2 linked regions of the Tamandua tetradactyla genome follow. The protein of the gene in region 1 purifies or fractionates together with the protein of each later gene. This does not show direct contact. Links are inferred from orthologs where the notes say so. Each region holds a gene or a part of one and is shown on either strand. Other genes may lie near its edges.

Evidence for each region.
Region 2: the proteins of RAB11FIP1 (region 1) and RAB11B purify together in Homo sapiens (affinity purification with mass spectrometry; 3 studies listed by BioGRID and IntAct, counting the BioPlex papers as one, with this or other methods). This does not show direct contact. The link is inferred for Tamandua tetradactyla from reciprocal best matches to the Homo sapiens genes RAB11FIP1 and RAB11B.

What each region holds. Positions count from the first base shown.
Region 1 is NC_135352.1:5,477,950-5,481,857, reverse strand, and holds the start of RAB11FIP1 (rab11 family-interacting protein 1), read right to left. Parts: upstream 2,470-3,908; 5' UTR 2,392-2,469; coding exon 2,021-2,391; intron 1,911-2,020; exon of another isoform or gene 1,685-1,910; intron 1,140-1,684; exon of another isoform or gene 1-1,139. UniProt on the Homo sapiens protein: A Rab11 effector protein involved in the endosomal recycling process. Also involved in controlling membrane trafficking along the phagocytic pathway and in phagocytosis. Interaction with RAB14 may function in the process of neurite formation.
Region 2 is NC_135337.1:84,847,809-84,851,716, forward strand, and holds the start of RAB11B (ras-related protein Rab-11B), read left to right. Parts: upstream 1-1,367; 5' UTR 1,368-1,503; coding exon 1,504-1,543; intron 1,544-3,908. UniProt on the Homo sapiens protein: The small GTPases Rab are key regulators of intracellular membrane trafficking, from the formation of transport vesicles to their fusion with membranes.

The sequences.
Region 1 (3,908 bases):
CTAATGGTAGAGAAGCAAAGAAGCCTTCCTCTGCAGTTATAAAAAAACCATCAACAAAGCACCACCTCTCTGCAAGTCGATACTGTGACTCAGTGTAATCAGCTCATATGATAGAGACAGCAGTAACCAACGAGGTTTAGGATTACATCAGAGAGAACGAGAAAAATGAAGATGCAGAGGCTGAACCTTTCTGAAAAATGGAGCTTAAAGAGGTTTTCCTCCCTCACAATGCAGTTATAGAGCCTTCTGAATCTACACAATGGCTCCATTAATACAGAACCATCTTGAGCTATCCGTTAAGCCCGTCAACAAGCTCCACTTATGAATAGGGAAATTTGGGTGTTTAGAGACCAAGCAGCCTGAAGCCCAACAATGAGTCAGGATCAAAGCAGGTACCGGACACAGGAATCTGGAATTCCCATCTCTGGCAGGGAGATGCAGTCTATCTTTCAAGGGCATAAAATACTCCATGGCAAACAGACGGCAGATTTGGAGGTTAATTTCTACATATCTACAGCACCCAGGTGAAGCGGGAATGAAAGCCAACCTAAGGCCCCAGTGTCATTTAATCAGGTGGAAAATGAGCACTGCTTCAGCCCTGGACACTGCTCCCCTTATAGCTGGTAAATTGATGACAAGAGATCCTCCAATCCGTCTGCACATCGAGGCTCTCTATTTTATCCGATTTGAGTCCAGAAAAGCATCGTTGGGTCAGTCAGGCAAATTGGGTATATTCTTTGCAAGCATGCATGCTGAAACTGGACTCACCCTCTGGACAAGGGAGCCTGCCAACTTCAAACCCTCCCAAGAGAAAGTTAAAATATCATGCATATCTAAAAGGCACAAGGTGACTCAGCGTGCTTCATAAATGGTAGGGTTTAGGGGGTAAGATACGACTGGCTTATATTCTAGAAGATCCAGCAAAGTACCGATGTAAACTAAACAAGGCTTACGTCTGGTATACCAGAGCATAGCTATCAATTGTTCCCTGGGGTTAAGCATTATCCTTTCCCAGCACCTGTGAAAGAGAACAAATTTGTCACCATGGGGTGAATTAGTTTTTGCCTCCTTCCGGGAGGAAAGGAGATACCCTGACCCTGAACCCTCGACTGGGGAAGTACAGATGAGCAGTCACACACACACCCCCGCACCCCCTCCCCACCCACCCAAGAGTGGCCCAGAGCGAGGGGCCTAGCAAACTCCAAAAGAAAGCCACGCCTACTTCCCAGCTGGCTTGGCTAAGACTGACCCTGGCTCTGGCCATCATCGGGAAATTATGGCTGATCTAGCGTCCAGGGCAAACTGCTAATATTTGCAACCACAAAAGAAAGCCCAAATTATTCTAACCTTCTTTTTGGAGAGCTGAATTCTCCTCACCAACTTTTTGGAGAATGGGGGTAATTGTCATAGGACGGCCTGCATTCCCCGCCCCCGCCCTCTCCCCCTCACCCCCCACTGTAATGCTCTCACTGGGTCCCTGGGTTAGCTTGGGGGGCCAGGAGGCGGCGGGTCTCACTCCGGTTAACCCTCGCTGCGCCCTGGCCCGTCCAATCTCAGCTCCAGGTGTCCGGTCCAGCGAGGGCATCTGCCACGTACATTAATGTATGTAGTAAACACACACACACTATCATTAATAAGAGAAACTCCCCTGCCCACAGACATTTTCAATTCATCAAAAACCCACCAAGTGCTTACTATGTGCCAGGCACGGAGTGGCGTTCCACGGGTTACAAAACGCCCCAGGTGCCGCCCCAGGTTTCCAAGAGCTCAAAGGCTGCGAGGGCTGGGGCGCAACAGCCGAGGACTCGAAGCTACTGAGAGCACTGTTATTTATCGAGGGGCCCGCCTCGAAGAGTCACCTCACCAGTCCCCCGGGAACGCAAAAGGCCGTGATCGCCACGCTAGCTCTAAACGGATCCCAGCGCCGAGGCCACACGTCCCCCCTCCCCCGCAAAGATCCGCCCCTTCCCCCGCCGGCCCCTTGCCTCCACTCAGCTCCCCTCCCTCGGCGCGCACTCACTGGGTCTTCCTGCGGCCCTGGTCGCGGTGCAGCTCCCGCAGGTCCACCTCCGCGCGGCCCAGGAACTTGTCGAGGCCGAGCAGCGCGCGGTGCAGCACGGTGAGCTGCAGGGTGGCGGCGGCCGCGGGCCCGGCGGACAGCAGCGGCGGCAGCTCGAAGGTGGCCTCCTCGCGCCACACGGGCGCGCCCAGGCTGCGCTCCGACACCGAGGTGGCGTACTTCTCCTTGCCTACCTGGATCACAGCGTACGCGTCGCTCGTGCCCCCCGGCCCCTTGGCCCGCAGGCCCCGCGCCTGCAGCACCGTCACCTGCACGTGGGTTGGGGACCACACGACCCCCGGGCCCCGGCCCGCAGAAGCCGCCAGGGACATGGTGACCGACCCGCCGCCCACCCCCGGACGAAGAGGAGATAACCCTGCCCCACAGCCTCTCCGGCGCGCCCGGGCGACCCTACGGGCCTCTTTAAAGCTTCCGGCCACGCCCCCGCCGGGGCCCGCCTTCCCCTGTCGGGACCCCGCCCCACCTGCCGGCGCTCCCGCCCCGCCTCCGGCGCGCACGCAGCTCAGTGCACCCGGAATGCCGGGGGGAGGGCGGGAGCCAGGAGAATGCGTGGGAAGGGGCTGAGCCTTCCAGAATTCCGGTCTGGGAGGCGGTGGGTGAGCGATGCGTTGCCGGGATGCCGAGGGTCGCACGGCCGAACAGGACCTTGCCAAAACCGTGACTTGGGAGTCCGACCTAATTTCTAATCCCCTCAGCGTCGTTTGGTAGGCTAGTGACCCGGTGCAGATCACTTAGCATTTTTAAGTCTCAGTACCTTCGTCTGTAAAATGAAATCACAATTATCTAAAAAAAAAAAAAAAAATGAATTAACGTTCTTAGCACAGTGCCTGGTAACCATGAAGATGAGAAGGAAGGCGAGGAAGTTGGGTGCAGAAATGGTGTCAGGTGGACGGGAAAGGAGGAAGATCCTTTGCAAATCTGAAAAGAGGAAGGTACGGGGGGGAGGGGGTGATGATGTCCGGGTGGGAGTGTCCCATTTTGCCCTACCCTTACCAAATAAGGCGAGGCCAAACTGGGGAAAGGAAAAAAAGAAGGAACTGAAAATGGGATTGCCAAAGTATAGGACCCCAGGGACTTCCCCAGGTTCCCCGTTTCTCCTGGAGGAGCCCTCTTTTGTCCCTCCCTCCTCTTTATCTCTGGGCACCCAGTAAGCCACTTCATTCTTCCAAATGTCCATTAGCATGGCAGCTTGCCTTCATTTCCAGTCCCAGTTTACAGGGTCAACTGTCCTTGTCAGTTTGTGAAGGTCACATCTAAAGAAAGGCCCAGAACAGAGAAGGGACTTGGTCAAGAGCCCACAGCAGATCCAGGACTGGAACCCAGGTCTCTGAACTCCTGGTCTGATGTTCTAATTGCACCCTTGGCTTCTTCCGGAACCCGATCTTGGACTACTGCTGGTTGCCCAGCTGGTGTCCAGGTGCGTGACCCTCTGATCCACACTGCACATCGCTCCTCTAGCCTTCTTTTCACCCTGCGGCAATGCTTCACACCGTTGGCGGACTGAACTGTGTACCGCAGTGTGAACATGTTCTTGGTTGTCATCCTGGTGGGTGTGAACCCATTGTAGATGGGATCTCCTGAAGTTTCCTTCAGTTCAGGTGTGGCCTCAACTCAATCAGGTTGGACTTTAACCCAGATTATTTGACACCTTTATAAACAGAGTGACATTCAGACAGAGAGACGTCATGGGAAGAAGCCAAAAGTCAAAGGAACCCAGAAGAGAAAGGAGAAAAACACCTTCCTGGGCATTGCCCTGTGACAGAAAATCCAAGGGCCAAGGTTCCCCAGCAGCCAGCCTCAGACCAGAACCCCACAGTCTTCACAGAGA
Region 2 (3,908 bases), on another chromosome or scaffold:
ACTGAGACTGGATCTAGACAAAGTGGGCCCTCCTGATATGCGCAGTAGCTTAAATTTGAATGGGTAAGTCACCTATCCCTCGTGATAATACTAAAAATCATGCCCGTCATTATATTAAGGCCGCTATTTTCTTACCAACACTGTGTGACTAAATGCATACTCAATCTGCACATGTTCAATAGCAGATCACCCCTAATTACATCACCTGGGGCCAAAGTGCCCATTGTCCAAAACCCTGCTCACCTTTTCTCTAAAAAAAACTACCCAAATTACCACAGTTCAGGGAGAGATTTGGGGCCGTTAGGCTGTCTGCTCTCCTACTATGTGCACAACAATGAACTCTCTCCTTAAAACCCCTGGTGTCTCAGGAATTGATTATTGAGCGCCTTGGGCAGAAGAATCCATGGACTAAATTTATCTGTTAACATTCTGGCTTAGATTCTTCATCATTGAACAAACACTGAGCCTTGAGGATACCGCAGATACAATCCCTACCCTTACGGCATTCAAAGTCGGAGCCAGAGGACATAAACGAAACAGGCAAATGGATCAAAGGAGGAAGACAGGGCCACGGTGGCTCAGCAGGCAGAGTTCTCGTCTGCCATGCCGGAGACCCGGTTCCATTCCCAGTGCCTGCCCATATTAAAATCAAATTTAGAAAAAAAAGAAAAACGGAATGCATACTTGCACATCAGGTGGTAATAAATATTACGGAAACAAAATAAAACAAGTTAAGGACACAGAGAGGAAAGAAAGGCCTTGCTGCAGAATATCTGGTACCCACTAAGGATTCAGAAATACTAAATAACAAACACTTAAGGACACAAAGTCGACGGTTGATATACTATGGACGCTTTTAGGAAAATCTATTCATCCTCAAAAAGATTTCCAGAAGGTGAAAGTCTTCACTGTTTTGTGGAGGGAGGAATCCGAGGCGCAGGGTGAGAAGTAACGCGAGTCACCAACACAAGGATGGAAAATGCAACCGAGAAGCGACAAGCGCCCTCCAGACCGCCATCTAAGCAAAGAGGAGCGAGCGCTCCGCAAAGGCCGATGATGTCATCGGCACGCTGCGATCTGTAACGTAGCTTCTCCTGAACGTGGCCCCTTTTCCCTTCCCAGGCGGGTCCTCGGGTAGTCGGGTAGGGTCTGAATCAAGCCTCTCATTGGCTGCTCATTTCATCAATCCCCTTCGTTTCCCTAGTCTTCCGCCCCGCCTTTCCGAGTTCTGCTCTGATAGGCCGGCGCGGCCGTCACTTCAGAAAGATCCGCATTCCTTCCGCCTTTCTCCAGGAGACGGACGGTGAGGAGGGTGGCTCTCAGGCAGTGCCCACCCCGGAGGCTCTGCTTCCGCCTCTGATTGGCTGCTCCGGGTGTCGGTCGCTACGGCGCCCGCCGCTGTTTGGCCAGCCAGCCCCAGTTCAGCGCGGCGCCGGCTCCGCCCCCATCGGGTGTTTGTGGTGGGGCTGCGGAGTCGCCGATCCCGCCGGAAGCGCCAGGACAATGGGGACCCGGGACGATGAGTACGACTACCTATTCAAAGGTGCGGCCGCTGGGGCAGAGCCGGGCGAGGGCGAGGCGGTGGGCAGGCGCGGCGAGGCTGCGCTCCGGGCCTTTGGGCCCTGGCAGGGATCCGGGACTTGGAACCCGGGGGGAAGGCCGGGAAAGGCCAGGCTTCGTCAGCTTCGGGCCGGGGTGCACGGCTGTATGGAGCGGGCAGCCCCGAGAGGTCTGGGGACGCGGGGTGCGCCGGGGCGGGACCGAGACCTGAAGGAGGTGGGACAATCCGTTGGGGGCGGGGCCTCCGGGGGCGGGGCCGCCCCAGCATTTGGCGGGCCGGGCCGGGCTGAAGCGCCACTCGTGGTGGGGGCGGGGCCATTAGAGGCGGGGCTAGAGCCTGTGGGCGTGTCTCCGTGGGCGGGAGGGGCCAGGCCTGGGTGGGGGCGGGGTCCAGGGTCAGCGCCCTTGGGGGCGCACAATGGGAGGTTGGGTCGAGGTGAGGGTCCCTCGGGAGGTGTGTGGTGCGAGGGGGAGCCTGGACTGGGGTGCGGACCCCTAATCGGGTGGAAGGGCTCCTGGAAGGGACCATGTCTGAACCCAGGCGTGGTGATTGAAAGCAAGAACTAAATGAAACGCTTGATGGTATCAACCATGTACCTGCACTTCTCTAAGCACTTTACACGCAAGCGCTCACTTAAATCCTTACCTTGTGAGGTGAGTAGTATTCAGCCTCTGTTTTTACAGACTAGGAGACTGAGGCCCAGGGAAATAAAGGCCCAGCCAGAAAGTGTTGGAGCAAGACTTGAATCCAGGCCGGCTGTGGCCTTTATCATTTAGGGAGCATGTTTGGGGGCCTTGTGGCCAAGATCTGGGTGTTAAACCCTCTCTCTCCAACACTTGAGCACTGGTGTCCTGGACCTTGGCCGTCCTGCTGGTGGATCTTCCCTGCCTAAGGAACAGATGGCTACCAAGTAAGGCCCAGGCAAGGCTAGCAGCTTTTGCCGAACTGGGGCCAGCTGGAGAGCCTTTGCTTTACCCCTCGAGCTGGGAAGACTCCCTTCACATTATTAGAATCCCTGCTTTCTCTGCTGGGCAGGTTGGAGGATCACTGCCTTTGCAGTACCTTGCCTGCTGAGCTCGGCTTTGGCCAGGTTCTCTGCCATGCCTGCTGGACTCTCGGCTGGCAGTGGCCACCCTGGAGACCTAAACCCTGGGTCCATGCACTACACCTTTGCCCTGCTGCCTGGTGTGTCAGCACCTTGGGACCAGGGCTTTGGGAATATAAAGAGTAGGGTGGAGCTCTCCCTACCTAGGATATCCACATTAGTCAAAGGTTTCCGGGCTGAAGGAGAGCCTGTGTCAAGGCCCTGAGTCAGCCCACAGCACCATGGGCTCAGGGGGTTGCAAGCAGGCTGATGTGTCGCTGGCAGGGCACACCAAAACTCACGTGCCTCCCAAGCCTTGGGTTCTTGGAGACTTTGGTCCTCCTCCAGCTGGTTTCCCATCTTCACTCAAATCACCTTAGGGGGCTGCTCCCCTGCTCATAACTGAGCACCCGTCTGATGTGGCACTGCCAGGGCAGGGGGATTTCCCCCCCAGGTGCCACATCCTGGTTTCCATTGCCCTCCCTTGCTTGTCGGGCTGTCAGTTTATTGTCACCCTTTTGCTTTTATAAACAATCAGATACAAATCATCTACTTGCCCTTTGGATTATTTCCTTGAAGTGTGTTCCCAGAAGTACAGTTACTGGGTCAGGGGCAATAGAGCAGCTCTGCACTTCTCAGGACTCATCTATAGACTCAACTTCCTGGAAACACAGATCAGGTCTTACGGTAGCGGGCATACTGTGAGGGCCACCTGTCCCCTGTCCTCCTCTACTGACCCTGTTTACCTAAGCCAGTGGTAGCAAGCTGCTGAACTCGATCTAGGGTGGTAGCAGAAGTCTAACTCACAAAGTCAGCATTTCTGAAACTCTGTTCATCCAAGGTCTCACCTTCCAGCAATAAATATCTTTTCCTACTTTTCTTTAAATCCAATAAGTTTTTCACTAAGTTAGGTGTATTAGACAAGGAAGGAAGGAAGCAAACCAGCAAACAAACCACCACCATTACATCACTGCCACAGATATGGAGGAGGGGAAGGTAGAAATGTGAATATGTACACCCCCAGACCTGGGGGCCTGCTATTGAGGCTCAGGTCTGGGCCCACCTGCCAGAGAGACATAGAAAACACACCGGCCCTGAGCCCCCTCCTCTCCTCTCCTTGCAAGGGTCAGACCTGTTGACAAAAGCCAACTTTTTCAGGACCTCTGCTTGCAGGACCTCTGCTTGCAGCACCCTGGAGTCCCCTGCCCCCTAGGCCTTATTTGTCTCTCTCTGGATTAGCCCCTGGACCAGTGCAGCCATTCC